Notamacropus eugenii: one gene and its partner. The protein of the gene in region 1 binds, or shares a complex with, the protein of each later gene. Links are inferred from orthologs where the notes say so. Each region holds a gene or a part of one and is shown in the gene's direction. Other genes may lie near its edges.

Region 1 (16,213 bases):
ATAGAATAGTTACCACAATAAGACAAGAAAAAAAGAAATTAAAAGAATAATAATATGTAACAAGGAAACAAATTGTCACTCTTTACAGATAATACTTTGGTATACTTAGAGAACCCTAGAGAATCAACTAAAAAAGTCACTGAAACAATTGACAACCTTAGCAAAGTTGCAGTATATAAAATAGATCCACATAAATCATCAGAATTTCTGTATATTGCAAAAAAAAACCATCAGGAAGGGATAGAAAGAGAAATTTCATTTAAAATAAACAGTATTAATTACTTGCCAAGACACACCCAGGAATTATACGAACACAATTACAAAACAGTTTTCATGCAAATAAAGACAGATCTAAACAATTGCAGAAATGTTTACTGTTTAAAGTAGCTATAAAAAATAATAAAATTTACCTGGAAGATCAACAATATCAAGGGAATTAATTAAAAAATATAAAGGAAGGTAGCCTGGCAGTAGCAGATATCAAACTATATTACAAAGTGGTTTGATGATTACCACTTTGCAATATGGTTTGAAATCTATCAAACAGTTTGGTACTGGCTAAGAAATAGAATGGTGGATCAGTGGAATAGATTAAGTACAGAATACATGACCAAGTAATCTAGCATTTGATAAACCCTAAGATCCAAGCTCTGGGGGCAAGAACTCTCTATTCAACAAAAACTGCTGGGAAAACTGGAAAGCGTTCTGGCAGAAACTAGGCAGAAACTAACATCTCACACCATATAGCCATTTCTCTCTTTGAGCATTACACAAATTAAACTTTATGTAAAGAATTCTGAAAGAAATCTACATTACAAAAAAATTGCAAAAATTCCTTATACAAAACAGACATTGAAAGTAGGCATTGTACAATAAGTTGCTGTACCACGTAGGCAGCATAAACAACAGTGAGAAGCATCTCTAAGTAAGTTCTCACCCTCACCAGTACTCAATAGTCATCCTCATATTTTCATCATGGCTGGTGTAAATGTGTTCTTGAGGGAGAAAGTGAACCATTTCTTAATAATAAGTCACTAAACTTGGAAATGAAAAGAATTAGAAAATATGGAGGACAAAAATTGTCATCTATAGCAGTGACTTAAGTCTGCAGTGTTGACTGTGAACACAGTAGTGAAGGATGCTGCCCAAATAAAGGAACATGAAAAAGGCTGTGCTTGCATGAAGTTGAGTTATCTGTTGAAACAAAGAGAAGATGTTATTTGAGAGATGGAGAAACTATTAACTATATGGATATGACCAGACTCAGAAGAATATTCCTTTAAACTTGATGACAAATTAAGTGAAGGTTCAAAGCCTCTTTGTAGGTTTAAAGTTAGAGTACCCTGGAGGAACACAGGCATCTATCTACAGCAAGAAGTAGTTAGTTTGGATTTTAAAATCGTGCAGGATTTCATTACGTGCAAGTGGAGAGGCTGCTGCTAGTGCAGATATGGAAGCAGCAAACAAAAAAGCATATATGGAAGCTAGAGCAGATATGGAAGCAACAAAGAATGTCCCAGGGTTCCTGCATAAAAAAATATTACAGATGAAGGTCCCAACTTGCTGGAGCAACTCTTTAATATGAAAGAAACTGGCCTATTTCAAAAAATGCCATCTCAAACTTATATCACTCAGTGGAGAAAAAAAACCTCTGCTAGGGCATAAAGCTTTGAAAAGTAGAGTTACTCTTCTGCTTGAAAGTAATGCATCTAAGACTTGCAAATTAAAATATGTTCTTGTGAGCCACTCAGAAAATCCCAGAGCATTGAAAGGAATCAGAAAGGCAACATTACCTTAGTATTATGTCACTAAGGCATGGATAACCCTTATCATCTTTGAATAATAGTTTATACACTATTTCATTCAGGAAGTTGTAAAGTTTTGTGATGATAATGGTATTCCTTTCAAGATTTTACTGATTTTGGATAAATCCCCAGGTCACCTTCCCCATATGGATGATTTTAATGAAAATATAAAAGTGGTGTATCTTTCCACTAACACTACCTCATTATTATAACCTAAGGATCAGGAGTGATTTCAAGGGGCAACATGCTGCACACATGTTAACTTTACTGTATGTACTCTGCATACTTTATTATTAACTTTACCTTTCATCTCATAATTCTGCTTATTATGGTACAGTATTTAATATATCTGCACTTTGGTATATTTTGTGACTTGTATTAAGGTATTATTTTGTTTATGCTTTTGTCATATATGCTAAATGAAGTAGGTGGGAAGGGGAAAATTCACACAATGTAAAAATTGCTCTAAATAGAGATCTGTGGAACAGTCTACTTATATAAAGTGAGAACTGTCTGTATGCTAACATAAGATCAAAACAGGTATATGATTTACACATAAAGGGTGATATCATAAGCAAAGTAGAGAAGCATGGAAAAAAATTATCTGTTATATCTATAGATAAGGGAAAATTGTATGCCTACACAAGAGATAGAGAGGGTTGTGAGAGATGCAAAGTGGATAATTTTGATCACATGAAATTTTAAACATTTGTACAAACAAAATCAATGCAGCCAAAATGAGAAGTAAATCAGGAAACTGGGGTGGGGAGGATTTTATAGCAACTTTCTCTGATAAATCCTTCATTCCTTGTTTATACATAGGGAACTGAGTCAAATTTGTAAACATAAGAGCCATTCCCTAACTGAAAAATGGTCAAAGGGTAAAACAAGTAAGTTTCAGAAGCTGAAGCTACCAATAGTCGGGTGGGGAAAAAAAATCTCTAAAGTACTAATAATTAGAAAAATGTAAATTAAAACCACTCTGAGATACCACCCTTCAGATTGGCTAACATGACAGAAAAGGAAAATGACAAATGCTAGAGGAGATGTAGAAAAATAGATACACCAGTGCAACATTGGCAGAGTTGTGAACTGGTTCAATCATTCTGGAGAACAATTTGGAACTGTCTAATACCACTATGAGGTCTGTATTCCAAAGAGATCAAAGAAAAAATAAATGAACGTGTATGTACAAAAATATTTATAGAAGCTCTTTTTGTAGTGGCAAAGAATTGGAAATTAAGGGGATACCCATCCATTGGGAAATGGCTAAACAAACTGTGGTAAATGATTGTGATAGAATACTATTGAGCCATAAGAAATGATGAGGGAGATAGGGTCAGGAAAACCTGGGAAGACTTCTATGAACTGATGCAAAGTGAAGTAAGCAGAACTAACAGGATGTTGTACACAGTAATAGCAATATTGTAACAGTTATCAGCTGTGAAAGACTCAGCCACTCCAATCAATGCAATGATCCATGATAATTCCATTCTCCAGAGAAAGTACTGATGAACTCTAAGTGAAGATTTAAACTTTTTTTCACTTTTTTCTTGCTTTTTTTTTTGCAACCTGGCTAATATGGAAATATATTTTGAAGGTCTTCACATGTATAATGGGTATCATATTGCTTGCCTTCTCAATGGGTGGGGGGGGGGCTGGAGAGAGGGAGAGAATATGGAAATCAAAATTTTAAAATGTTAATTTTTTATTTAAAAATAAAACATTGTAAACACTGAAGAACCCATAATATAGCATTAATGTAAAATGTCCTAGGTTTAGAGTCAGGAAACTTGGTTTTGAGGCCTAGCTGATATTTAAATGATTTATGACAATAGTTGTCCCTTAATTTTTCTAAGCCTCAGTCTCCTTTTCCATAAAATGGGGATAATAGCATGTATACCATCTACCACATAGACTTGTTGTGAGAAAGTACTTTGAACATCTGTAAGTGCTATGGAAATGTTGAATTATTTTAACATACAAACTTCCAAGTTCCTGGATTCAATCAATATATAATCACACAACACAAAGTGTGTAGTCCTTAATTTATAAAGGCAATATAAGGCATGTAGGACCATAGAATCATAGATATAACCCCTATGTCAAGACTCATTGTTATGGAACTCTCTCCTCATTAGTGGAGATGAATGCCCTATCCTGAATGAGAGGTAGGATGGAGTTGACAAGAGGAGCTTCAATTCTCATCTGGTCCCCCTTTTCCTGGTCAGTTCCTTTTGGGACTCTTGAAGCATCAGTCTTCTTCAAGACTCTTCAAACTGCAAGTTGCTTTGGGTGCTTCTGACTTCCTGCTTTGAGAACAAAAACGGAAGAAACCAACCCCATTTCAAGTTGCTGAAGGAAAGACTGAGAAAACATGTGAGGAGCTGGCAGTCTCTATCATGGTCCTATTCCCCACTCGCTACTCTAGAGATTTCAGGTAATTGCCCCTCCAGTGAGATGTTGGTTGAGCTGTTACTTCACTCTCAGTGGGCTTCTTCACTCTCATACTGTCTGGTATATATTCTCCCTTGTATACATTCCCTTATTTCTGTTTTGTTGTTGATTTGTATAAATAGGTTTCTTTGCTATATGTGTGTTCATTGTAGAACTGGTATTAGGTGGAGAAGGGGTCAAGCCTTGTATACAGAGCTTAGGATCCTTATTCCCAAAAGGACAAAGCTATCAAAAGTTGCATGGAACCCAATCATATCCCCTTAGATTAACAATATTTAAGGAAGCAGATAAGATATACTTCTAGCCCAGTATTCTATCTGAGGAGATCAGAGTGGCCTTAGCCCCCAATTTCTTGCTTACCCACTTGCAAGAATGAAAGCCTCCCTTGGAAAAAGCCAAGGAGAAAAGAGACTAGAGATGTCTATTCTGTCTCCCTTCAAGCCACACAAGGATAAACCGTCCCCATATGTGGCCCCTCTCCACATGAGGGGCTCACTACCCTTTCCTTAATAGGTTTAGAGCTAGAGAAAACCTTAGACATCATATAGTCCTAAATATTCATTTTACACATGAGAAAACTGAGGCCAAGAAATGTGCTAAATTTTGTCCACTAGGGACAATGTATATGTGATGTGTCTTTGTTTCTAGATTCCCTCAGACTCCCAGTGACCAATGACATTTATTTGTAGAATGGTTGACCCAAAGTTAAGAGAGATTGTCTCTATGAAAGAGCAAAGTCAATTGACTTTTCTTTCAACAATGTAATTAGTCATTTAAGTGGCATAATGAGTAGAATTCGGCACCTGGAGTAAGACTCAGCTTCCGTGAGTTCAAGTTTGACCTCAGAGACTTTCTCACTCTGTGATCCTGGGCAAGTTAGGTGACTGTTCCTCACCTGCAAAATGAGCTGAAGGAGGAAATGTCAAACCACTCTAGTATCTTTGCCAAGAAAACCCCAAAATGGCCACAATAACAACAAATCACACAATTGGTATCATACTCTAATCAATCGATATAGCCAATCATACTATCTAAGCTGGTTCCTTTTATACTGATAGCTCTAGTTGACCATTTTCTGTTTCCAAACAAGGAATTTTCAAACATTCTTGTACTATAGTGCTTACATTTAATATGATTTAACATATTAAGGAGAAGACAAGAAACATGTATTAAGCATTTATTCTGTGCCAAGCAATGAGAAGACAAATCCAAGCAGGCAAGACAGACCTTGCCCTGAAGAAGCTCGAATTCTGGTGAGGGAAGACAATACACAAAGGAGACCTGGGTGGGAGGGGTGCACGGGGAGGGAAGGGCACTTCACTATATCATAGAGCAGGCCAATAAGTGGTTTAGGGAATAATGCGAAGATAATTGAAAGTCCAAGTGGAAGAGGCATGGATAGGGAGCAGGTCACTACTTCCACTGGTCATTTTTTTTTTAATATTAGCAGATAAATTCCAAATTATGCATAATTGAAAATGACTTGGTCTTTCATATTCTTTTCTATTCTACTAATCCTTAAAAGTCTGTGTGCTTTTTAAACCACTAGGTGGGAGCAATTGTCTCAGAACACAAAGGTCTGAGAAAAGGAACTAAGGAGGATATGAAGTTTTTGCCGATTATCAGGGGTTCTTTCTCCCCTTTAACAAATATATAAACATATGCATATTTAAATAAACATAAGCATTTATGTAAACTAGCTTATATGCTTGCTATTTTATTTATGTGTGCACATGTATATATATTTGAGAAATCTCATTATTGCTGTTGAAGAAAATGACCAGTTATTGAGTGCAAGAGTATGATTGAATTACAGTAATGAGTATGGTGACATGATAGCTATCTTCAAGTATTTTTAGAGGTTGTCTCATGGAAGAGGGATTAGATTTGTTTTGTTTGGCCCCAGAGGGAAGAACTAGGAGCAACAGGTGGAAGTTGCAAAGAGGTATATTTAGACTTCACATAAGGAAACTCTTACCATTAGACCTATCCAAGAGTGGAATGGACTGTCTCAGGAGGTAATGGGTTCTCCATTGCTGGAGGTGAAGCTACTTGCCAGTTATGTTGTAGAGGGGTTTTTTGTGTGGGTGCATATTGCACTAGATGGATTTTGAGACTTCTCCCTGAATTTGACATTCTATGAAAAAATTCACAAAACAAAAAGAGACAAAACAAAAATTTACAGAAGTCACTGCAATACCAGAAAAGTAGTGATGTTATTTACGCTTACAAATTTTCTTTTTAAAAAGTTTTATTGATGATGAAACAAACAGCAAAAGTAATAATATAGTAACCTTATCTGAAAGTTTATACAACATTTCACATTTGTGGGTCTTCCCACTTGTCTAAAAAAAACAAACAAACCAGAAATCTATTTTCTCTCCTACTCCCATTTAAGCTAAACAAATTCCCTAAATGGCTGCATATAAAATATATGTCTCATTCTACATCCTAAATCCATCACCTTTATATGATAGCCTACTACTGAGTTTACCTGTCTCAAGTTTCTCCACGGCAATCCATCCTCCAGTCACCAAAGTGATTTTTCTAAGGTGCAGGTCTAACCATATTACCTTCCCAATCCCCCTCACCACACACCCCCAACTCAATAAACTCTAGTGGCACTTAACACCTCCAGGATCAAATATGAAATCTTCTGTTTGGCATTCAAGTGCATTTATAACCTAGCCCCCTCCTACATGTCTTCTTACAACTACTCCCTAACATTTATTCTTTGATCCAGTGACACTGGTCTCCTGGCTGTTCCTTAAGCAAGATAGGCCATCTTAAGGCTCCAGGCATTTTCTCCAGCTGTCCTACATGCTGGACTACTCTTCCCTCCTGCTCCCTATCTACTAACTCCCCTGGCTGCCTTTAAGTCCCAACTGAAATCCTGTCTTTTACAGAAAGCCCTCTCCAGTCTCTTCATTCTAGTCCCTTCCCTATCATGTATATAGATTTTTGTAAATTTTTGCTTGTTGTTTCCCCCATTAGATTGTGAATTGCTTGGGTGCAGGGACTGTCTTGCCACTTTTTATATCCCTAGCGCTTAGCATAGTGCCTGGCACGTATTAGAACTTAAAAAATGTTTACTGACTGTAATGGATAACATGTTTCATTATCAGTCCTCTGAAATCATGAATGGTTATGGTATTGATCATAGTTCTTACAGCTTTCAAAGTACTGTTTTAGTGTTGCTATTATATAAATTGTTCTGGTTCTGTTCATTATTAAAAGTCCTCAAATTTTTTATTTTTATAATATGGATGTTACAATTATTCTTCTTTGGTTACTTCATTTTTTGTTAGTTCATATAAATTCTCTAGGTAACAATCCCTAAAGTTCTAGCAAGCTCTTTTCACTAACCTCAAACTGCTTTAACATCTGATGTCTCCGGTAAGGCAGCTTCCTCCTCTATACACTTCTCATTGCTCTACACGTATTCAGAGTGTCAAAGATGGAAAAGACCTTAAAGGCCATCAAGTCCAAATTAAATCTGCACAAAAATCCTCTCTACAACATAGTGGACTAGTGATGTCTAGCCTTGGCTTGAAGATCTCTAATTGAACTTTCTATACTTCCTATGTAATCATTTTTTAAAACATTTGTCTTGGCTAGTACTCTAACTGTATCAATTAGCAATCAGTCAAAACACATTAAGTGCCTGCTATGTTCCAGACTCTAGAAATACAAAAATAAAAATGAAGCAGTCCCAGTATGAATCTGATAGCTATCATCCATTACCTTGTAAACTCCTTGGGGACGATATAGGATTCCTGTAGTCTTAGAGTGACCTAAAGCACTTAGAGCCAGTATGTGAGGCTTGAGACCAATTTTCTACTCACCACCAAAATGAATTCAACAACAAAAATGCCAATAGTCATCATATGCTTTATTTAAAAAAAAATAAATTTGTATTTGACTCTAATGCATCTTGATCTAGAAGCTGGAGCTGAAAGTTTATACTGTTTTTCCTCCTCAAGAACACAAAGAGTGGAGGAGGAGGCAGTTCCTAGGACAAATAACATTGTGTGTCCTTCCCCACCTACTCAACCTTTTTTATAATTGAAATATGCTAACAATGAACCTTGAAGGAAAAAGACAAGAAAGTCACAAAAAAGCAGCCTGTAGTTTGAGGGGGTGGTTTAAGAAAGGGACATTATCTTCAAGCAGCTGGCCTTAGTATTATGCATTCATTATATACACATGCTATAGGATCCCTGTAGTCTTAGAGTGGCCTAGAGCACTTAGAGACCTCAGTAGGCCTGAATTACTTTTCCAAAAGGAGAGGGTAGACTGGATGACTTTCTAAAGGCTCTTACAACTCTAAATCTTGTAACAAAGACCCTCAAGCCTAGTCCTTTCAGAAACAAGCTGGGGGATGGTTTTTAGCAGCTAGACCCTTTTTTCTTTTTTTATTATATTATACTTAGCCAAGCTTTAAAGTTTGCAAAGCACTTTACCTATTAGTGATTAACCTATTATCTCTCAAAATTTTCACAACCCCAGGGAGCTGGGTGCTATTATTCTCATTTTTATAAAAAAAAAGGATTAAGGTCCAAGGACAAGGTACCTCTCGGGTGAGATTTGAAATACAATTCCCTCACTGTACTCTCCACATTTCTACTATCGACTAAAGAATTTATCATTATTCAACAAATACTTGTTAAGCGTTTACCTTCGGCCAGCCACGGTTCTAAGAGCTAGGACTACAAAGACACTGTCTCTGTCTTCAAGAAGCTCGGATGTAAATAATAAGGGAGAAAACACTAGCATTGAGGAAAAGCTCTCTGTGGAACATGTGATTTTTAGCTGGTACCTGAAGGAAGCCAGGGAAAGCAAGAGATAGGGAGGAGAAAAGAGAGAATGTCAGGCGGTTAAAACTCAGTCTAGAGACGGTGTCTCGTTCAAGAAACAAGCCAGTGTTACCGGATAGGAGGGTAGGTGCGAAGCAGTATGTTGTAAGAAGGCTGTTACGGCGGGAGGAGGCCGGGTTAGGAAGGGCTTGGGACGATTTTCTCCTTGGGGGTGACGTGGCTATTCCTGGGTTGGCTAGGGCAGAGACTCGAGACAGGCGGACCACGGCAGGCTGTTGTAACTGCCCAGCGCCCCCGAACCGCGCGGCGTCCGAGCAGAGAAGTTAAAAATCGAGGGGTCCAGAGAGGATTCGAGCATTCATTCATCTCATTCTTACCACACCTTCTAAGTGTTTGTATTCCTCTCAAAGGGGCTACAAACACAATTACACCGCCCCGGGCTGGGAAGCAAAAACTAGACAGTCCTAGCCCTCGGGATGTTTACACTCAAAGCGTGTAAAAAGAGGAGCGAATCCCCGAGGCCCGCCCTTGAATCGAGATCTAAGGCTTGCCGAGCGCGGGCTGCTTAGGGGATCCCTCTCCCAGGTAGAAAGCGAACACAAAGTAATAAGGGGGGCGGGCCTTCACGACGGCGGGAATCAGGCTGGGCCTCTCTTTTTTCTAGAAATCGGCTACTAAAAGCAAAGAAAATGGGGAGGCAGGGGGCAGGGCCGACAGGAGGGGAGGCAAACAACCGGAAATTTCCCTCAGGAAGGGTCCCCAAGGTGCTTCAGGCCTCCGCGCCGCGCCGAGGTCCCCAAGCGCTCTCGGCAGGCCAAAAGGCTTAAAAATGAATCTCCCCTTAGAGAACATGCGCAGAAGTAGTTAACCGAGCACTGTGGGCGGAAGGGGCCCCAGCAGCCAACATGGCAGCCAGGCCCTGGACCTTCTCCGCCTGCGCCTCAACGGCCTCCTTCCTCTAGTCTAGTTCCCTGTAGGCCCCTCCCCCCTCTGAGCAAAACCTGCCTGACGCGTCAGTCGCTTCTGCGCACGCGCATCCGTGGCCGTCCCGTGAGCCTCCCGGAGTCCCCAGAGCCAGCCGGAGTGGCCTTTGCAGCCACCGTCGCCGCGGCCGCTCAGGGAGCGGGGGGCGGGGCGGGAGGGACTCGCGCTGCCTGAGCGGCTGGGCAGCCGAGGGAGCTCGAGGCGTCCGGGGCCTGGGCACAGGGATCGCTGCGGGGAGGGGGGGGACCATGGTCCTGCGCCAGGGCCGGTGACGGCGGGGCGGAGCGGAACGGAGCAGCCTGGGACTCTGAGTACGTCTCTCCCCGGGAGCCTCGCCCTCCTCCTCCTGCCGTCGCCGCCGCCGCTGGCCGCGATTATGTCCGGCCGCCGTTGCGCCGGCGGGGGAGGACCCGGCGCGGGCGCGGCCTCGGCGGGGGAGGCCGTAGAGCCCGCGGCCCGGGAGTTGTTCGAGGCTTGTCGGAACGGGGACGTGGAGCGCGTCAAAAAGTTGGTGACCCCGGAGAAGGTGAACAGCCGCGACACGGCGGGCAGGAAGTCCACCCCCCTCCACTTCGCCGCAGGTAACTAACTTAGGGGACCGCCGCCGGCCGGAAGTGGAGCGCACAGCTCCCCCCCACGCCCCGGGCCTGGGGCGGTCTGGGATGTTGCAGCCCCACACCCCACCCCCAGCGCCCGGGCCCCAGGCGGAACTCCTCGGCAGAACCCTGGGCCCAGGTTCCCCGAGAAGGGGGATGGGGGAAGCTGCGGGCCCTTGACACCACCCACCATGTAGGTGGCGTTTTGTTTGTTTGTTTTTCACCTCCCGAATTCGTCACCGGGATTTCCTGTCCTGATAAAGCGACTGGGTCGGGGACCACGAGCTGCCCTACTCACTCTTGGGGTGATTTGAAGGCTAGAGAGGCTCTTGGCCACCCCCACCCCCCCTCCGACCTATATGTTCACTCGTGTCCTACCAGAAATTTCTACTATTAAATTGTGGGGTTAAGGCACTAAAGGCCTTAGTTCTAATGCAAACGCTATAATACGGGGAGAATGGGGGTAATAACCAGCAGCGTTCATGTAGTAGTTACGGGGGGTAAGACTTGAATAATTCAATTCAAGGAGTATTTATTACAAAAATAGGTATAATAAAAAAATTTTGCAAACTGAAAGGAAAGGACCAGTTGGAGCTATTAGAAAATCGAGGGTGAAATTACTTTAAGGGGGGAGGGGGAGTGACAGAGGGAATACACAATAAGATCAGCAGATTGGCTGGCATACCTTTGGACTTGTCTCCTTTTACACTGGACTTGGAAATTTTGATTTGGAATGGGGGAAGGGGGGTAGTCAGAAAAGGGCCCAGCTTGATAAGTGGGTGGGACAAAAGGATTCCGGACAAATTGTGGGCCCCTAGTACGTCTACTTGAGAATTTGTTTGGGACTAGCCCTACCTAAACTTTTCATTGGAGGGGGGGGAAGGTGTCCTGTCCCATCCCATCTTTGCTAAGAAGTAATAAAGTCTGACATTTGTGTATCACTTTACAGTTTGCAAAGTTCACATGTATTGTTTCATTTAAAGTTTGTGCTAATTTTTTGTTTCCTTGTTTCCCTTTTTCTTGAACAAAAACCAAATTTGACTCTCACTCCCACCCTTTTTTTAAAAATCCTCTTGCTAAAACATGGGAGAGAAAGGGCAGTATGGGAAAATCAAAATGGGAAATCACCAAAGACTTGATGTTCCTATTTTATACAATTGTGTCTAAGGCTTTTTTTTAATGGATTCTGTTTTTGGCATGCCCAGCATTCCGGAACTTCTGTTAGGCAATGTAGGTTACAGTAAAACAACTGCTTCCTGACTTGAGGGAATGTAGCAAATTGATTTAATAATATGAAAATAAGATTATTTAGAGTCCACTCAGTCTGTGGGATAGGAAAGCATTTAGTAGAAAAAGCCTTTGAAGATGGGTAAAAAATATAATCTAGATGTCTGTAGTTATGTTGGTTTCTCCTCCCCCACCTTTATCCAGAGACCTCATGTTACCTTTCAACAACCCCCTACACCTAAATTTGCCCTCCAATTACTGATTATAAGAATTTAAAGGGGAGGGAGACAAGAACTGGGAAAAGTCTGTAAAAGTAAAGGTTAATGCAAGTTTTTTTTTAATTTAAATTTTGTAAATTCAATCTAAATGAGAACTCCTTAGTTTTAAAATAGTGAATAGAACTTGTACATTTTTTTCTTTCCATTCAGAAGAGTAATTCTGTAACCTCCATTTTATAAACTATGTAATGTTGATACAGTGATATTTTGTAAATATCTATGTTGGGTGGTTCTCTATGACTAATAAGCATATGTGTATGGATATACACACACACATACATACATACATACACTTATAATGTTTTTGCTTGTATTTTGTAATAAGGATTTTGAATAACTTGCTTATCATCTGTAAGGTAGTTCCACTTTACATGGAAAAGCTGACTTTTCATTTTTCTGTATCAGACAACATTTATTAAGTGTCCACCATGTGCCTAGTACTGTACGTAGCACTGGGGAGATTAAGAAAAGCAGCAGTTTCTGTCCTCAAGTATCTTGCATTCTGTAGGAGACAACAGTACACTATAAGTAAATACAAGGTAATTTGTGAGAGAAGCAGTAATGAGGGGTGGGTCAGGAAATACTTCTTATAGAAGAAGGAACTTGAATTGACATTAGAAGATTGATATTCTAAGAGTTGGAGGTGAGGAGTGGGGCCCATTACAGGCATGGGGGACAGCCTATGCAAAGGTATGGAAGTTGAAAGCACAGGTACAATTTTTGACCTTTGTATCTCTAGCACTTATCATAATATACAGTAAGTGCTTAATAAATGTGTTTTGATTGAGGGTGACCTCTGTGAGGAGCAGCAAATAAGCCATTTTGGCTAAACTTAAGAGTGTATATTAAGTTTTAGAAGTGGGCTGGAGCCAGACTGAAGATCTTTAAATGCTAAACAGAGTATATATTTTGTCCTAAGGGCTATAGGGAGCTACTGGAGCTTTTTTTTTTAGCGGGATAGTGACCTGCTGCTAAACCAGCTGTCTTTTGAATAAGATCTATTCAGCATCTATGTGGAGGATGGATTAGAAGGGGAAAGCCTGGAGTAGGAGATATCAATTAGAAGCCTTTGTAGTCCTTCATATAGAGGTGATAAGAGTAGTGTCTGTGAGAACAAAGATAAGGGAATAAACTTGAGAGATATGCCGACTTAATATGTGGGATAAGAGAGTTCAGGGTTGAGGACTTCAAGATTATAAATCTGGTTAACTAGAAGGATAGTAATCCCCCTTAACAGAAATAGGGAATTTCTGAGAAGAGATGGGATTGGAGAGAAAGATGAGTCCTGTTTAAGACATTTGGAGCTATGAGATCCAGTTGGTGATGTAGTTTTGGTACTCAGAAGAGAGACTATAGCTGGATATGTGTAGGTCTTGATACATAGACTCATCACATAGAGATAATAGTTAAACCCATGGACACTGATGATCACTAAAAGAGACAATATTGAGAGTGAGAGAATTTCATTTTCCTTGGATTCCTAGTCAAATAATTACATTTTAAAAAGTCATGGATTTCCCACCCCCAAAGTGGTAGTGGTAGCATGAGGGCCACATACTGCAGAAAAGGAGCCTTAATAAGTAGTATGTACAGCCAAGAAATTTTTAGAAAAATTCTAGTTCCAAAAAGTGGGAAGAAATATCAACTAAGTTTTGCAAGAGTTTTTGTCTAAATATTTACTTTGTTGACTTTTTTAAAAAACAGGAAACTCTTCAGAGTCTTAGATACTTTTCACTATAGAATTACATCCCATACTTTTATCGAGGGTTGAGTTCTTAAGGGAAAAACATACCAATGGAATTGAATTTTCTGATTAGGTATCAGATTCTCATTTTGTGCATGTATTATTTTGCTTATTCCTACAGATCATTTTCCCTAGAATACTTCAGTTTGCATGAGCATCAGCTCAGTTTGAACTCTGTCTCTTCTAACAATCTCCCAAGAATTAGATAAAATGAGGTGTTTGCAGAGTGCTTTGCAAACCTAAAAGCACTAAATAAATGCTATATATTATTATAGGTGGGGGAGTTCTGCAAAAACAACCAGTATGTCCAAAAACTCTGACATGATATGGTGTTCACTTCATTCTCAAACCCCCCAAAATTCTGTTTAAATACTTTGGTACATATGAGACCTTTCTTTTTGTTACTGATTTTCTAGGGGATTATGCCTAGAGGTACAGTTTTTAGGTCCGAGGTCCAGACATTTCAGTACTTCTCTTCAAATAATTCCACGTTGATTCACAGAATGGTTCAGCTAGTTGACAACTCTTAGAGAACCATACCCTCTGTTACCTGCCCTTCCATTTCTGAATATACCTTTTAAAAAAAAGTTGTTGGTTGAGTTATTCTTTGCTTCTACATTTATATCTTCAGGCAACTACCATTTTTATTCATTACTAAAATTGTTTCCCTTTGAATTCTTGAAAGTCTTCGCTCTTGGGTTTATAGCTTCCTTTGTAGAATGGGTTCATGGGTTCCTAACTAGCCTTCCACTGAACCCTTTGAATCCTGTTCTCCCAGAACCTGTAACTCCCAGAATGTCATTCCCAGTGATTCCTCTCTTTCTCCATCACAAACTCTAAGAGGTAGTGCTCACTTCTCTTCAAGGTTCATTAACAAGCATTTATTAAGCTAGGCACTGTGCTAAGTGCTAGGGATCAAAAGAAAAAGTAAAGAACACACGGTCTAATAGAGAAGAAAACATGCAGACAACTATGTAGAAAGAAGCTATGTACAGAATAAATTGGAAATAAGCAACTGAGGAAAGGCCCTGACATTCAGGGGAAATCAGGAAAGGTTTCTTGCAGATGGTAGGATTTAAGCTGACATGTGAAGGAAGCCAGAGGGAAATAGGAGAGGAAGATGGAGGGGGAAAGGGTTCTGAGCGTAAGGGAAAGAAAGTGAAGATGCCCAGACTTGGGACATATAGTGTCCAGTTCAAGGAATATTAAGGAGACCAAGGTCACTTAAAAGGGGGGGAGGGGAATAAGGAGCAAGGTTCTCCTCCAGAAACTAGCTTTTCTCTGTTAGAATAAGATTCAGTATAAAATGTGTCTTTGTTGGTTCCTTCACCTTTTGAAAGCTGAAATTGTCTTTAGGACAAATGCATTGCTTTTGGTGGAGGTATTGCTCCAGCAAATGATTGAATGTTTGAAATCCCACATCACTATTTTATGCCTCTATGCCAGGCTTGTGATGTTTCCTGAACTGTTTCTTCTTTTCTGTCCAGAAACTCTCTAGTATGTTCCAGTGATAACATATGTAGTCTACACTTCTCTTAACTCTTTTCATTGACCTTTGCTAAGATGCTGTCTTCCATGCTCTGCTTCCTAAATACTCTTAACCTGAGTATTCCTTCTTAATGCTCCCCTCCTTTTACCTAACCTTTTTCTTTTGAGTAATTTATATTTTTTCAGAACTATATTCCAGGCAGATTTTATCCCACTGAGCCTCAACAATACCAGTGTAGTCAAATTTGCTTCCTTATGTTTAGACCTCTAGTTCGACTTGCTTTTTATGTAAACTTGGGGCATTTATGTATAGACATTTGAAATGCTGGGTTTTACCACTGGAGACTTCTTGGATTTTGCTTTTTGAGAATTTTCGGATGTCTCATTTGCTAGTCTCTTTTTTTCATAAATTGTAGCTACTCCCTATATCTAGCTTGGTATATGTACTTCGGCAGTTTTCTTCCTCCCCAACACATTTTAGTTTTAAACTTTTTTTATTAAATTTTTAAGGCACTGAGAAAATACATTCTTACTAGCATTTGTTAGTTGTGCTCTGTTCTTGATCAGGAGTCTGGCATCCCTGCATCTTAAGTCTTGATCTAGAAATCAAAATCTTTTCTGTTCAGACTTTTTGTAACCTATAATGTGAACTAGAGGAATATGATTGTATACATTAGGACCAAATACATTTAATTCTTCTTTAAAAAGAAAAAGTTGATTCTAACAATAATAATAATAAATATTAATAAGCCATGGTTTTCTTTTGGAGTACACTAAGGGAACCAGTCTTCGGACATTTGAATATCCAGAATAGTTC
Region 2 (16,248 bases), on another chromosome or scaffold:
GAACCATATTTGGGATTATTGGTTTGGTCAGGGAAAAGTTGCATACAAATATTTCCCAAAAGTACTTCACTTCCTAAATTTTCACAGGCTTGATATGTCTGGTTTTTCTTATTTTTATTTTCTCTATTCTGATCTTAAATACCAAATAAAATAAGCACCTCCAAGTAAAAAGCAGAACAGGAAAAGAGGACCACTCAGGCAACCACGACTTCATACCACATACCATTTGCTTCTCTCTTAACTATAGGATACATGCAGCATCTTTTTTTTCCAAGCTCTCCTGTCTGTCTGGATTTCCTACCTACTCTCCTTCTCTTTGTGTATTCCTCAGTTGATAAGTACTCTTTTAATGTCTAGTCCTTTACCACTACAAAAAGATTTGCTACAAATATGCTTACATGTGTAAGTCCTTTTCCTCTTCCTTTGATCTCTTTTGTTATATATAAGCCTAATGATATATTATCACTGCGTCAGAGGATATGTAGTTTAGTGACTCTGCAGGCATAGTTCCAAATTGTTTTCCAGAGTGGTTGGACCAATTCATAGCTCCACCAACAATACATCGATGTGCCTATTTTCCCACAGCCCCATCAACATTCGTCATTTTCCTTTTTTTGTCATTTTGCTAATCTGACGAGTGTGAGGCAGAACCCTAGGATGTCTTCTTGATATGACACTTTTTCCTTTAAGTGTCATTGGGGAGCCCAAAGAAGATAACTTTAGCCCTCTTTCATCTCTGGGGGAGAAAAGACTAACATGAGTCAATTACAAAATAATTTAAGACCTTTTACTATCATATACGGTAGTAAATCAGTTCATTTTTTTTAAGTCATTTACCTAGTGCTCCTAAGTGCAAGGTGTTGTGGGTGACATAAAGTTCAATTGGAAAAATATTTGTTGATCTATGAGTAGGAGTCTACAACATTCAGAAAACACCCAGTGTCTGTCCTTAGGGAATTTGCAGTGGCTATAGATTCAGATAATTATAATACAAGGCAGAATATGACAAGTTCCACAAGAAAAGGCAGAATACGGAAGAGAAGATGACAGAGAACCAAGCTGTTGAGTTGAATGGGCTCAAGTACCAAAAGGAAAGGTCTGGGGAGATGCCATAAAGCAGGGCTGGGGTGAACTTTAGGGATAGGAAAGCAAGAGGTCCATATAGACTGCAATTACATTCCATCTGACTGCTCCTGTGTGATTCATCACTCATTCAATGTATCTGGATTTAGGGATTTGGAGGGGTTGGTACTTAAAGGGCATCTAGTCCCTGCGCTTCATAGCTGAGGATGCTAGGGTCTAGAGAGAGAAATTGTGTGGCTGAAGGTCTATAACTGTGTCTTCTAATCCCAAGTCCAACAAACTTTTCATTATACCCCAAAGTGTGGGAAGGGGAGTGTCCTGCAGTTTTGCAGGTGTCTATAATCTCTATGCATCTCTAAGGTTTCTTTTAGCTCTGAACAACAGATGTGACAGGCAGGGGGGCCGTGGAGCCAGCAACTTAACTCTTTAGAAAGCAGTAGTAATTCTCTCCTTTTCACTCCCTAGTGGAACCAGAGCTTCCCCAACTTCTCACCCAGACAATGCTGGCTTCCTTACCTCATTTGCAGTGTGATAAGGGGAGGGGATTGCCCTGTGGCTTCCCCTTCAGTGAAGGCAGGAGGTGTTCTTCTACTTTCTCATGGTTAAGACTGAGCCGGAAGTCCTATGCTCAGCTTTGGGACTGCGTTTCCCGCAGAGTTGCAGAAAGCTTCTGTCCAACTGACCTACACAATTCCTCCCGACCCTCAGTTCAGTTTTGCCTGTATTTGTGCATATTTGTGTGCACATCTGTGTACGTATGTGTACATATATACATACAAGGGCCTGGTGTGGTATGTCAGAAAGTTTCTGTTGACTCTGACCCTAGACTTAAGAGATGTGATATCTTCTTCCCTGGATGGAGCTCCTGGATTCATGGGTCCAGGGACAGCTTATCTATAATCATCTAATTCACTTTTCAGGTAAACCTTCCTATCTTAGAAATCCATCCACTAAGTTATTGCTGGAGATTTAAAAAAGAAAAAATAATCACTCCTTATGATGAATATTCCACTACAGAATTATTGAAGCCTTTTCACATACATTATTTCCCTGTTTTACCCTTTACCCATTTTACAACCTGATGAAGTAGGCAAAGCAGATTAACTTCTGGGCCTCAATTTCCTCATTTTTAAAATGGTGGTAGTGGTGGTAGTGGTAGTGTGTATGTGAGTGTCGGCGGTGGGGAGGGGGGCAATGCTATAACTTCTAAGGTCTCTTCCAGCTCCAAAGCTCTGATTTTTTTGAACCCCATTTTACAGTTGAGGAAAATGGGACCCAGGCCCCACAGTCACTTCAGAGCAGAGCTTGGATACAAGTGTCCTACCATAACATGGTGGTCTGTGCTTTATAATATTCAACTCAACTGTGCCCTTCCCCTGTGTACTTTTTTTTTCATTGTACTATGTACTGTGTATATGTATAGTACATATGTACTGTATTTTCACATTGTAGTTGTATGAATGCCTGTCCTCTCTCCTTGGCAAAAGCTGAAGACAGCACCTGGCCACAGCACCCTGGCATTTTGTCCCTCTTTGATGTGTTCAACCCTTCGAATGGTTTGAATTGAAACCCTGCCTCCTATTCTAGAAAGCCCTGAATATTCTCATCCCCACTGTTTCTACCCTCCCCTGTCCCCTGTGTTCCTACTACCTTGGGATGGATTCTCACCAGAGGTGAACATACCAGAGTCCCAGGGCTCCATTGAGAAGCCTGTTCTAGAAGCAGGAAAGAGAAGGAAGAAGAGCTAGGACTTGGTGAACTGCATGTGAGAATTTTATTTTAAAGTTCTCTCAGTGAGCTTGGAATCATAGGGTACCTTTCCCTGCTCACCAATTTAGAGGTGCCCCTCTTGCTTCTAGCTCTAAAAATGGATATGACGAAGGTAGGAGGAAATGAGAATCCAGCAACTTAACTATAGAAAGAGATAGCAATTCTCTCTTTCACTACCCCTGTGGAACTGGAGTCTCCTCAACTTCCCTCCAGGGCAAGGTGGTATGGGGATAGACTTGGAATTAAAGTCAGAAAGATTTTGAGTTTGGATCCTGCCTCATACACTTGTTTTCCCAGCCTCAGTTTCCTTATGGCTAAGATAAGGATAAAAATATTGCCTGTCCGATAAGGATCAAAATATTGCCTATCTCACAGGGTTATTGGAGGATCACATGAGATGAAAATCTCATTTGGGTAAATGGATGCGTCTTGTTTTGGTGCATGGCTAGCAAAATAATCCTTAAATCTCTCTATAGATGTTAGCTGTATGTTAGGTACCACTACCATCTTCCCTGCGACTGGGAATTCAAGAGGTATCCATTAAATAATCATTAAAATTGAGTTGAGTGCCAGTCAGGACCAAGGGCAGAATCTTGGCTTTGGTTTTTTCTTGTAAGTCAGTCTCACTGTAAAGAAGCTCTCAGACGTCGGTTGGGAAGTTCCACTGATTTTTCCTGAAAATACAAGATGATGCAGTTGTTGTGCAAAAGCAGCTGAATTTCCCTCATGCTTTGTTTCTCTCCCCTTCCCCCCATACTTTGCAATACTGAGTGTTGGGCGTTGTGCCTTATGCTACTTCCCCCTTTTTTCACTTCATAACAGTGCACCAAGAAATTCACAGGAAATGATGTCTCCAGTAGCATCTCTGATGAACTCTCGGGGGCATACTCAGTGGACAGTCTCAACTTTTGGGTGTGGTGGACCTTTCCTCTCACCACTGTATCCCTTCATCAGTCCATTTATGTGGCTGCCAAAATTATCGTCCCAAGACAAGTATCTGCCCATGTCACTCTTCTGCTCAGAGCCCCCTGTTAAATAAAGTGAGCCCCTAATCATGATTTTTAAGGTCCCCCATAATCTGGTTTCACTCTATTTTTCCATCCCTGTTCCTGTATTCTGCTTCATATACATGCTATGATCCAGTTCTCTGTTTTCTAATTTTAGACCTTTCTCCTCTGACCTTTGTTCATTTTTACAGTCCATTCTCTGTGCTTGGAACTTACTCTTTCTTCATCTCTGCCTGTTGAAAACTGTTTTGTCCCTCGAGGTCCAGTTCAGACCTCCTCCATAAAATGTTCCTCAATCCTCTCCCTCCCCAGATTTTTCTAGAGAACTTTGCCTACATTACTGCTTTGTCCCAATGATTACACTCTACTGTAAGTCATCCTCTGTACTGGTCATTCCCCCAGCAAATAGTAAACCCCCTGAGGGAAGAGAGTGTGTCATTTTCCAAGTTTGTATCCCCAAGTAGAGCACCAGGTCTTGTACGATGGCAGGTACTTAATAAGTTTTCTGTTAAGCTGAACTGAGTCTTCTGATCTCTTGTGCTATGACAGATCCTGCCTCTTATGAGAATCAGATTAGGAATAATAGCTGTGGCATTAGCTGCCACATGGAATTTGGGCTGAGTTATCACCAGATGTGAATATACTAGGGTCACAATGCTCCATTGACGAGGACTGTTCTAGAACCAGGCAGGCTGCCTGAGAAGGAAGGGCAGCTGTGGCTCAGTGGACTGCATGTGAGAACTTTATTTTAGAGTCCTCTCAGCAAACAGGGATTCACATCCTTGTGCAACATTTGTATTGGAGAGCAGCCTCTGAACACAGCCAAATTCAGCTCTCTTAACCTAGGGAAGGTAAAGCCTTGCAGTTAGAGCTTCAGCTCAGCCAGGCCTTATGTAATCTGATGGAGTTTGTGTGGCTAGGGAGAGTGGGGAATGCTTTAGAAGATTGGGTCTAACTTTTCAGCTGGGCAGCAACAGCCTCCCACACTGCATCCTGGTGCTCTGCAATGGCCAGTTGGAGACAAAGTGAAATTTGGGAAGGGCTGCATTAAACTACATTTTCCAAATGTTGTTTTCTAACCACCAGTTATTTTGGGGTGGTGGGAAGTTTCAACTTTATCTTCCTCAGAAAAAGCAGTAATGCAAGTGCTTTGGAAAGTATAACACAGCTAGGTGGCTAAGTAAGTGGAGCCTTTGTGCAAGCTGCTTGTTTGCCTCAGTTTCCTCAGTTGTAAAATGAGGGTAGTAACAGCACCTACTTTTCAGGGTTATGAACACATTAAATGAGATGGTATTTGTAAAAGGCTTAGCACAGTATGTTTTTATCATTATCATTATTGCATTGTGTTATAAGTTGTTGTGGTGTGAGAAAAATCATTGTGAATAACTAATGATCCAGGGACATTCAGAGTGCCCCCTTTCTTTTTCATCTTCAAGACCTTAGTCTCTGAAGGTCAAGTTAAACTTCTCTTCTGTCTGACCCAACCCAACCCTGTAAGAAACCTCTAGTGAATCTCTTCTGTGAACTGTCAACCAGTCAGTAAGCAGTTCTTAGGTGCCTACTGTATGCCAGTACTGTGCTAAGCATAGGCAGGAGGCAGTCTCTGCTTTCACGGAGTCCACAGCCTAACTGCACAGCCAGAGGAAATGGAGGGATTTGCACCCAGCCCCATCTCTCCTGAATCCAATACATTCCCTTTTCCAGTCTCCTTTTCTCTTCCCTTATGTGCCGAGGTGGATACTGGAGGATGCTTCGAGTTATTATTATGTTTTTGGAGGATATTTTCCTTTCTTTTTTGGTTACAAGAGTATAAGTATCTTGCAGACAAGGACTGAATCTTTTCAGGCCCTCCAGTCATAAGTGGCTCTGCCATTGATAAATTGGGTTTCCCTAGACAGTCACTTTGCTACTTCTCAGAGCCCAGATTTCCTCCTTTGTTAAAGGCAGATAATACCTCTGAGGAATGTGAAGAGTCAGTCAGATGAGAGGCGGGAAATAGCAAAAATCATAACAATAATAGTTAGCATTGAACTTTTCATATATTACTTCATTAGATCCTCAAAATCCTAGAAGTAGGTGCTGTTATCCCCATTTTACAGATAAGGAAACTGAGGGTGAAAGACGGTGCCCTAAGTCACACATCTTCAAAATATCCACGGCAGGATTTGATCTCAGGTCTTCCTGACTCCAAGTCCAGCACTCTCCTCACTGGGCTGAACTGTAGAGCACAGTACATGTAGAATACATGTTCACACTGCTATGGCACTGACAGGTTTTTAAAGTATTTTCTGGACAATTTTGTGAGGCAAGTAGTGGTATGTTATTTTTCTCATTTTACAGATATAGAAAATACATCTCAGAGCTTGTAAGTCATGGAGATGTGACCCGGACTCAGTCTAGTCAGATAGTCAACAGGCATTTAGTAAACACTGTCTCAGGTACTATAAAAATGAGAGACAGTAGAGACTGTAGATGACTCAGACTAGCATCTTGGCTGCTGGGTAACCTTGGGCAATCTCTCTGGGTCTTAATGTCCTCCTTGGCCTAGAACAGGGATTCTTAACTTGAAGTCCATGGAGAGATTTCAGGGAGACTGTGGACTCAGATGAGGGGGAAAATTACATCTGTGTGTGTGTGTGTGTGTGTGTGTGTCTATCTGTCTGTCTGTCTGTCTGTAAGTGTGTGTGTATCTTTAACTAACCTCTTACTGAAATTTAGCATTTCCTCCAGTTCTGAATAGGGCAGCTAGGTGGTGCAGTGATGAGAGTGCCAGACCTAGACTCCAAAGGATTCATCTTCCTGAGTTCAAATCTGGTCTCAGACACTTACTAGCTGCAATTTGTTTAATTCTTTTTGCTTCAATTTCCTCATCTGTAAAATTAAAATGAGCTGGAGAAGGAAATGGCAAACAAGAGACAGACGTAACTGAAGCGACTGAACAACCACCAATTATGAATGTAGGTAATAAACATTATTCTGAGATATCTCCAGACTTCACCAGACCCCTGGCCTAGATAATCATTAGGATCTCTCTCACTTCCGCAGCCTTTAGCTTTATTATTACATGTCAACAGGTATTTATTAAGGACCTACTGTGTGCCTGCCTACACAGTGCCTGAACTGTGCTAAGCACTAAAGCAACAAAGAAAAGCAAAAATTGTGCCTATTCTCAAGAAGCCCACAGTCTAACTAGGGAGACAACATGGGAATTTAATAGGAAATAAATCATTCAGAAATATTACAAGAGGCTTTAAACTGTAGTGGAAACTGTGCTGGGCTTGTGAGTGAAAGAGAAACTGTTTTAGGGCCACCTCAGCTAGGTCATTTGCTCTATAACAATGGAAAAGTAATTTCCTCTCTGAGTCTCAGTTTTACCATCTATAAAATGAGAGGATTTGGCATCTTTCAGTTCCAAAATTCCATTTTTACTCACTACTGAATTTAATTCAGACCCCTACTATATATTCCATAACTTTAAGGAAGTAGGCAGTCTCATAATGACAGAAGGCCACCTTGCCTTTGCTGGTTATAGAGTTTGGAGCATCCCCACCCTGAACCCTTGTAACTTCAGTTTTTTCAGAAGGGTATTGTCAGGAGTCAGAGTTTTATCCAGCTGTTTAGGATCAGCAGCTGCTCTGGGGGGGAAGGATAGGTTTCTTGTGTGTTTCTTTGCCAGATCCATTCATTCCATAGATATTTATTTATGAAGCACATAATGTCTACAGGATCTTGTCACACATTAGAACTAAAGGGGATGTGGAGAAATATAAGGTAGAGCCCTTTACTATTAAGGAGTTCATGAGCCTATTTAGAGATGCAATGGCATGAAAAGTTAAATTTTTTTTTAAAAGGCAAGATATATTATTCCGTGTCAAATGGTCCATATGGATTGTCAGAGCTTTAGAGAAAGGAAATCTCAGTGATTATGGCCTGGGACATGGTCAGAGAAGGCTTCCTGGAGGGCTCGAACTGATTCTTGAAGGCTGTGTGGCTGAACTCAAAGACTGACTAGCTGTGTGATCTAGTACAGTTAACTCTCTGCACCTCAGATTCCATATCTACAAAATGAGGGAATTGGACCAAGTGACCTCTAAATTCGCTTCTACGCCTAACAATCTGTAGTTCTAGATTTAAAAAAAATTCCCCTTATTTCATCTTTTTGTTCAGGTCCTGGCATGTCACACAGTAGGTACTTAATTTTTCTTGAATGGTGGGTGTGTATTGATACTACCCAGTGTATGAACAGAGTGTTATCCCTCCTATTTGAAGGTGTTACTACTGATGGATGCGGGTGTGTCTCAAAGAATCCATAAATAACAAAAAGCTTTGCTGCGTTAAGTGCATGTGAGAACATGTTCATTTGTCTGATAGCTGTAGCTGCGATTGCTGAAGTCTATCACTGTGTGTCTCAGGAGCCAAATGATACCTTGCCTCATAAATAGGGTCCACCCTGTCTCTGTTTATTCCTCACCAGGTTGTACTGAAGTCTGCCTCCTTTTCCCTGGTTTGCTTCATGCTTTCTTTATCCCTTCCCTGCTGTCACCTCCTCTCAGCCTGCCATCTAGCACCCCAATGGATTCAGCTTTCTCCTTCTTCATCTAGAGTCTGGGAGGTGGGAGAGCTGGGGTGGGGGTGGGGGTAGGGGGTAAAGAAAAACAATCACATTGAAGTCAAAGCCCTTGTGAGGTGGCTTCTGCAGGAAAACCCTGCATTCCTTAGGGAAATAAGAGAGCAGATGTGGTCATGCACTTTGGGGGGCAGCATTGACAAGAGAGGAGGGAGGTAAGAGCAAGAAATGCTTACTTGAGAAAAGAAGCCTTGGATGCCAGGAAATAGAGGAAGGAAGTCTCCATGGAGAGCTGATTTGGAAAGAGCCAGCTCAACAGAGGATCTGTTCGGGGACCGAGAAAACGGAATCAGGTGGAGAGATGGAAAGCTGGACCCGTAAGGGTCAGAAAGCCGTGGAGGCACTGAGGAGACTGTCAGGAGTAGGGGCTAGCTTTGAGGGAGACCTGGAAGCCTGCAGGTGTAAGGAAAGGCTGAGAGCTGGGCAGACGACCGAGGACTGCGCAAGTTGCCTTCATGTCCAGGATAGAAAGGACCGTGCCTGGGAGCAGTAAGTTACTTGTCATGCAGGTCACACCTCCTGTTCCCTCTCCTAAACAAAGGAGAGCAAATGCTCTGTGTGTTTCTATATGTGTCTGTGTGTGTCTCCCTGGAATTTAACTTCCTTGAGGATCACCAAGCTCCCAGACCTGTGGGAGGATTTTAACCTTTTTGAGGAATGAGAGGGACACTCTCAAGGTTTGTTTATCCGTTTTAAATAAAATCAGTGCACCAGGATAAAGACCCAATCTCTCTCCATTGTACGGCCACGTGTGCTGTGAGTACATGGAACTGCTGAGAGGACTCTATCTAGTCAAACCGGGCGGTCCCTCCTTTCCTTTCCAACATCAGTGTGAGTCTTTCTGTGTCAGGCTCATGTTTTTGAGCTGGAAATGAGCTGGGAGTGAGGGTTGAACAAATGCCTCGCCTTTTCCTACAGGGCGGGTTGGGGGGAGGGAGGGAGGGGTGCTTCCTTTTCATGTTTCATTATGTGTCTTCTAAATCTAACCCATCATATATTTTGCTTTGTGTATATGTAAGGTTGGAGTCTCTTTGTTTTTTCTTTTTTGAAGGGGGGCGGGGAGCGTGGGGGCGCGCTGCTGTGAGATGTAACTTCTTTGCCCCTAGTCTGTCCATTCTGAATGGTTTAACAGCAGTCAGTGGGGAAAAGAGCATAGCAGAATGAGCTTTGGCCTTTGGAAGACAGAAAACCTTGGTTCAGGTTTGGGCTCCTAACAATTACTAGCTGTGTGACCATGGGCAGATCACTTAACTCCTCCGAACCTCATAGTCCTCCTGTCAAATAAGGAAAATAATGCCTTCACTTCCCTGCCTTACAGGGTTTGGGGTTTTTGTTTTTGTTTTTGTTTTTTTTGGTAAGCGAAATACCATGACTTTAAAATACTATGGAAAATTTGAATTGCCATCACTATTATGATTTTTTAGGGTGTTTTGGTCAGTCTAGATTCCTTTGGCTGTTACAGGTTTTCTTTCACATAAGAAAGGTAGCGTTTCAGACCAGTCCTCTGTTAGAGGGCTGTGACTGAGTGAAAGACAGGTGCTGATTAATTCTGCATCCTCCCCCCCTTTTAACCTAGTAAGTAATTCTGATTCTAACTTTCAGGGAAAGAAAGAGGGGCCTTTTGTGCCACATCAGGCAGATGAAATTGGTTTTCAGGGAAAGAGCCCTGCTCCTGTTATCCCCTGAAGCTTATCCAGGATCAAAGGATGGCTCCATGATTCTTAGTTAAACAGCTGTAATTGACGCAAACAGCCATAGTGGGGAGTGCTTTGCTGTGATGGATCTTGGGTAGGGAGCAGAGAGGAGAAAAGTGCTGTCTGGTGAATTTTATCTCACATGCACCTCCTACAGGTATCCTTTCTAGAGAGAGCAGCCAGCATTCTCCTGTTGAATTGGAATGATTTTCTAAATTGGCAAGAAATCCTCTACTTTGTGCAAAATCTGATTTCTTCTTATCATATGCCCCTAGAGTATGGCTGTTAGCTGGAAGGTAGTTGGATTATCATTTCATAAAACAAAAGTATATTTCCCCCACTTTTCTGTTGCAGACCTTACTTAGTCCTTTATTTGCACTGCTCTAATGCATTTCTCTTGTAATTTATCTGTGTGGCTTACTACCTTGCTAGGTACCATGTGGACAGAATCTTAGTATGTATCTAACTGTGTATCTTTCCAGGGACTGGCACACAATAAGTCTTGATATTTGGTGATGGGAAATGAAGTAAATTGAGTGAGCATTAGACTTGAAGTCAAAAGGTTTGACTTTGAGTTTGAGTGCTAGCCACTAAAAAAATTTTCTAACCCATAGGTGTGTCCCTTTCCCTCTGAAACTCAGTTTCTACGTCTGTAAAGAGGAGGAGAGCATCATAGATTTAGAGCTAGAAGCGTCATGTCATTCACCCCTTGTGTTTCAAAGAGAAAGAAATTGAGCGCCAGAGGTTAAATTATTTGAAAGGATCCATCAAGGATTCAGAAACCACTGTTGCTTTTCTTTTCGTTAGAATGTGAGCTCGTTGGGACCAGGGACCTGTTTTTACGTTTCTTTTTAATCCCCATCTTTTAGCAAGATGCTTGGCACATAGGAGGCCATTAATAAATACTTGTGGATTCTCATAGTTAATAAACGGCAGTCAGGATTTGAACTCAGGTCTTCTGACTCTAAATCCACCATCATTTCCAATGTGCCTTGCTGCTCACTTACCTCCCAGTGTTGCTGTAAAGAAAGTGCTTCGTAAAGCACTATATATAGAGATAGATATATAGATAGATATAGATATTTATATATATACACACATACATATATATACACATACATATATGTTAATATAGGATCATAGGATTTAGAATTGAAAGGAGGCTTTAAAATAGTTTAGTCTCTGAATGAATCTAGGCAGATAATTTAATCTCAGCGTCCCTGGTAGTTCTCTAAGACTATAAATTGCAGATGAGGTGCTTGCATTGGTTGAGGATGGTTGTTCACAGGGAGTTTCCTGTACCAAGAAAATCACTAGCCTGACACCCCCCCCAAAAAAAATATAGTCCAACCCCTTATTGTACAGAAGAAGAAACCAAGAGAGAAGTGATTTGTCCAGTGTACCCAGGCAGCTGGAGTTGTTCCTTTGACTCAGAATCTCTTATTTCATTCTGCCTCTTTGTTGAGATGGTCACCTAAAATGATCATTAGTGCATCCTCTTGACCTCCAGAGTAAAAGGGACACTGATGCATTAAGCAAACCAGAAATATAAGAGTAATACAAAAAGTTGATTCTTTCATATTTTGTTGAATTAGGATAGATGTAGAAGATGGAGGAAATAAAGATGTTTTAATAAAGTTGGTGCCATCAAACTTTAGATTGGTCATACTCTTCTAGCTTGTATTAAGGGCATAAAAATCTGAATATCCACAAAGCCATTTTAAAAACAGACAATTTTTTAAAAAATCCCTGGGGATTTTCTGAAAAGCTGCCATGTTACATACTTCCTGGAATCTTTGAGACACTGATATATCTTATTTGTTATTTCCAGAAGTACATTCGATTTTTTTCTCCTTGTTTTTTTCTCCAAGTAATTGTCCAAGTCCCAAACCCAGTTCATCCTTTTCCATTATTTTCAGCTTGATGGCTTCAGAGGAACAGCATTGGCCTGTGCCAATGAAGGCCATTGGAGCTCAGAACCTCTTGACAATGCCTGGGGGCGTGGTCAAGTCCGGATACCTTCACAAAAAAGGTGGTACCCAGCTGCAGTTGCTAAAATGTAAGTCCTATCACTTATTTTCCCTTTCTGTCTCCTGAAGTCCCTACCCATCTAGCCACCTACCCTTTCCCACAATGGGCCTCACCATCAGAGTAATCTAGAGATATTCAGGGAGCCAACATGACATAGCCAAGAGAACACAGGACTGAGAATTGGAAGATTTTGCATTCTAGCTTAGACTCAACTGCTGTTGCTAAGCTGTGGGATGTTAGGTAGCTCACTCGTCACTATCTCAAATCACTCATCCTGAAATGTTGGTGCTAATGCTCCTTCTCCCTACCTCAAGATATTCCTTGAGAGGGTCAAATGAGACCATGTTTGTGAAAGTACTTTGAAGAGTGGTAAATGTTTTATAAACATAAAGTGTCTGTTGTATTGAAGAAAAAACACATTAATACTGTACTGAGCATTACAGGCACAAACCTGTCAGAAACCATCTTAGTTAATTTATTGTTATTCTTATCCAAGCATTTTTCTAGCTTAGTGGGAGAGATATTCAAACTGGCAGAGTCCCTTCTTGCTGAAGACATCTCTCCAGAACCACACATTTTTGAAATATCATTTACAGGAATTTTGAAAAAGGGAAATTTCCCATTACAGTAAAACATAGTGAAACAGTTCAGGGTCAGGTAAAAATTAATATTGCTTCATAGAACAGGACAATAAGTAACCTTTGAGGGGACGTTGTTGGAGTCATTTTCTTAAAGCCATTCGGTCCCTCTAAGATGGCTCTCCTCCAGGACCCTATTAGAATTATAGAATATAAGAGAATTAGAGAATCTTTTCATTCTATTTTGAATGTCCTGCACAAGCACACTGGGACAATGGTATTTTTATTTTGCAGAAATCCATAAATAACACTTGTCTTATGGCTATCAGTTAGCTTGTAACCCTTTATTTAGACAAGAAATCAGACAAGACTGAGGTGTGAATCTTAACTCCTTATACTTACCAGCTACGAACTACAAATGAATAAGTTAATCTTTCTGAACCTCAGTTTCCTCATCTGTAAAATGGGGAAAGTAATACATTAGTACAACGTCCAAGGGTAGTTTTGAGGAGCAAATGAGCCATCCCAGGTAAAGGGTTTTGCAGGCCTATAGCAGTATAGAAATGTCAGGTGGAGGCAAGGGCAAAGAGGGTTTTGGGAAAATTAATTTTTTTTAAATCAGCAAAATATATTAAAATAAACTTTTCCTTTCTTTATCTCTAGGGCCATTGCGGTTTGTGATTATCCACAAGAGATGTATTTATTACTTTAAGAGCAGCACATCAGCATCTCCCCAGGGAGCCTTCTCCCTGAGTGGCTATAATCGGTGAGTTGACTTGGTACCTGCAGGTAAGCAGGCATTCTTGGCCCCACCCCCGTTTTCTATGAAATCTAACAAAATTATCCAACACCATGTCCCACTGAGTTGTTCCCATGTGTTCTCAGTCAGTTACTTTGATCACTTTTATTGGCCATATAGCACCTTCCTGGAAATCACTATCCCCTTCCTATCCCATCCCCAACCCCTCAGCCCAGTGAGAGTGGGTATGGGAAAAGGATTATTATCCCTGAGTCATAGGCAAAAGAATTGCCTGATGCTAAGGAGGGAATTGATAGCTCAGCCAAGGTTAGAACTGACAGTCATCAGAATGCACTCTTGTTCTGGAATGTTTGGCATGTTATATTATAACATGCTATATTATTAACATCAACTATTATTTAATTATTATTATAATTTTTGCCATTTTACTGGCGCTCAAAGAGCTTAAGTGATTTGCTCAGGGTTGAACCATTTGAATGTCAGTAGCTTATTATGGAACATTCATTTAGCAAGCATATACCGAGGACCCATGGGACAGGTCTTGTACAACATGGTAGAATGATAAACTGGAGATATTCTCTGCTCTAGAACACTTAAGAATCCATAGAGGGGCCAGGGAGAGGGAACAGATCAGACTGGAATAGAGATACCTAAAGTAGAGAGCAGAGCGTGATAAGTACAGAGAGGTAAGAGCATCAGGTGTGGTGCTAAAATACACAAGCCCCTTAACTGGTCAGTGAAAGACCACAGCATTTACAGCTCTCAAAGTCATGATACCAGTCAGTCCTTGTTTGCCTTTCTCATTTCTTCTAAACAATCCCACATCCTGGTTGCTTGACAAGCTCTTCTAAGAAGGTGAGCTGAGTCATTTGAACTTGTGAAGTGCTCGGACCCACCTCTAGGTAGCTGAACCCAGCAGGGAGACCACACTGGCCCAGGCTGTAGCAAAAACTGAAGCCATTTGTGCACCCAGCAGGCTCTTAAATGTCACTGAGCTTCATGTGGCAATGTATTCGTTCATTTCAACAAATATTAATCCTCAGCTGTATCCAGAGTGCTGGGATCTGAGGAAATTGCAAACTTTAAATGAGACCATGTTTCTGCCTTCTTGGAGCTCAGCCTGGCTGTGGAGATAAAACACTAACATGCATAATTATGATATTGGGAGAAAGCTACATGTAATATTGTATTTCACATAATCTGTGAAAAAGCTGTCGTGTGGAAGGATTGGAATGGTTGAGTTTGGCCCCAGGACATGGAACTGGGCTGGAGTTACAAAGACATATTTTGTCTTGATATAAAGAAAAGCTTCATAAAGGGCTCAGAAAGTAGTAGATTGCCATTACCAGAGGTCTGCAAGAGTTAGGCGATCCTTGGTAAGGGATGTTATAAAAAGAGTTCCTGTTCAGGTTTAGGTTGAAGCAGATGGTCTCTGAGCTCCTTCCTGCTTCTGAGATTCTGGTCTGAGGTGTCAGATTGTCATGGGCCAGGGGAATCTGACAAAGTTTTATTGTAGGAGCATGATAGAAAGAGACCTGACTCATTCACAGCTCAGAGAAGCTAGACAATCTACTAAAAGTCACACAGCATGGCATTGACAGAGCTGGGACTAGAACTCCAGTCTGTTGCTACCCAGACCGAGGTTCCTTCCATTCCATCATATTGCTGCACCTCCTTGATATCGTACTACTTGTCTCCCAGGGTAATGCGAGCCGCTGAAGAAACAACGTCAAACAATGTCTTTCCCTTCAAGATCGTTCATATCAGCAAGAAACATCGGACCTGGTTCTTTTCAGCCTCCTCTGAAGATGAAAGAAAGGTGACTTCCAAGTAGTAGCTCAGATAATAATGTCTGCCTGGTCAAAAGACAGCTTGTAATCTGGAGAAGGGGAGAATTAAACTAAATTAATTCTAGCATACTATGCCCTGTGAACCTACAAAGGTCAAATCAACATAGCAGCCCTCTGCATGATCTGCTTCCAGTCTCCTCCTAAAGCCTGTATTTAGTATTTAATCCATATTTATAACAAGAAGGTCAAGGTTTGTTTTCCCCTTCTTTCAGAGTTGGATGGCCCTTCTAAGGAAAGAAATAGGCCACTACCATGAGAAGAAAGAGCCATCATTAGATTTCAGGTATGTAGCTGTTCAGTGACTATTTGGCGGGGTTTGGTCACATTTCTTCCAAAATGGAACTTGTGGAAGCACTCCTAAGCAAAGACATGTTTTGCCCTCTTTATGTTGTTGATTTAGCACACATTCAGAGACTCCCCATTGCATAGAAAAGAAAACTGAGACTTCTCTTCCTGGCACAGTGGGACTCAGCCTGCTTTTTCAGCCTCCTCTCACGTTATTCCCCTTCACACACTCCATGTTTCAGACAAACTAGGTTTTGCAGTGTGAGACTTGAATGGACTCAGAAAGACCTGAGTTTCAATCTTGCCTCTGGAGACTAGCTATGTGACCCAGGACAAGTCACTTAACCTAAAAAGTTTATGGCCTCAGTTTCCTTACCTGTTAAATGAAGTTGTTGATCCTTCAGTGACCATTAAGGTCACTTCCAGCTCCAAATCTATGATCCTGTGGACTACTGATTCAAACTCTGCCCCCATTTCATTCTGAGCTTTGACCTCTGTGCATTCACATAAGCCATTTCTCTCCCCTCTTCATCTCCACTTCTGAAGATCCTTCTCCTCCTTCA

The links.
Region 2: the proteins of TNKS2 (region 1) and SH3BP2 are in contact, whole or in part, in a crystal structure (PDB 3TWR), measured with the Homo sapiens proteins. The link is inferred for Notamacropus eugenii from reciprocal best matches to the Homo sapiens genes TNKS2 and SH3BP2. Residues at the interface, in NP_079511.1 of Homo sapiens: Arg525, Ser527, His531, Phe532, Gly535, Tyr536, Asn537, Arg538, Leu560, Asn565, Ser568, Tyr569, His571, Asp589, Trp591, Phe593, Glu598, Lys604; in NP_001116153.1 of Homo sapiens: Leu413, Gln414, Arg415, Ser416, Pro417, Pro418, Asp419, Gly420, Gln421, Ser422, Arg424.

What each region holds. Positions count from the first base shown.
Region 1 is NC_092872.1:208,559,035-208,575,247, forward strand, and holds the start of TNKS2 (poly [ADP-ribose] polymerase tankyrase-2), read left to right. Parts: upstream 1-10,283; 5' UTR 10,284-10,439; coding exon 10,440-10,644; intron 10,645-16,213. UniProt on the Homo sapiens protein: Poly-ADP-ribosyltransferase involved in various processes such as Wnt signaling pathway, telomere length and vesicle trafficking.
Region 2 is NC_092877.1:52,791,926-52,808,173, forward strand, and holds the start of SH3BP2 (SH3 domain-binding protein 2), read left to right. Parts: upstream 1-8,690; 5' UTR 8,691-8,788; coding exon 8,789-8,976; intron 8,977-12,100; coding exon 12,101-12,240; intron 12,241-13,453; coding exon 13,454-13,556; intron 13,557-15,251; coding exon 15,252-15,369; intron 15,370-15,612; coding exon 15,613-15,683; intron 15,684-16,248. UniProt on the Homo sapiens protein: Binds differentially to the SH3 domains of certain proteins of signal transduction pathways. Binds to phosphatidylinositols; linking the hemopoietic tyrosine kinase fes to the cytoplasmic membrane in a phosphorylation dependent mechanism.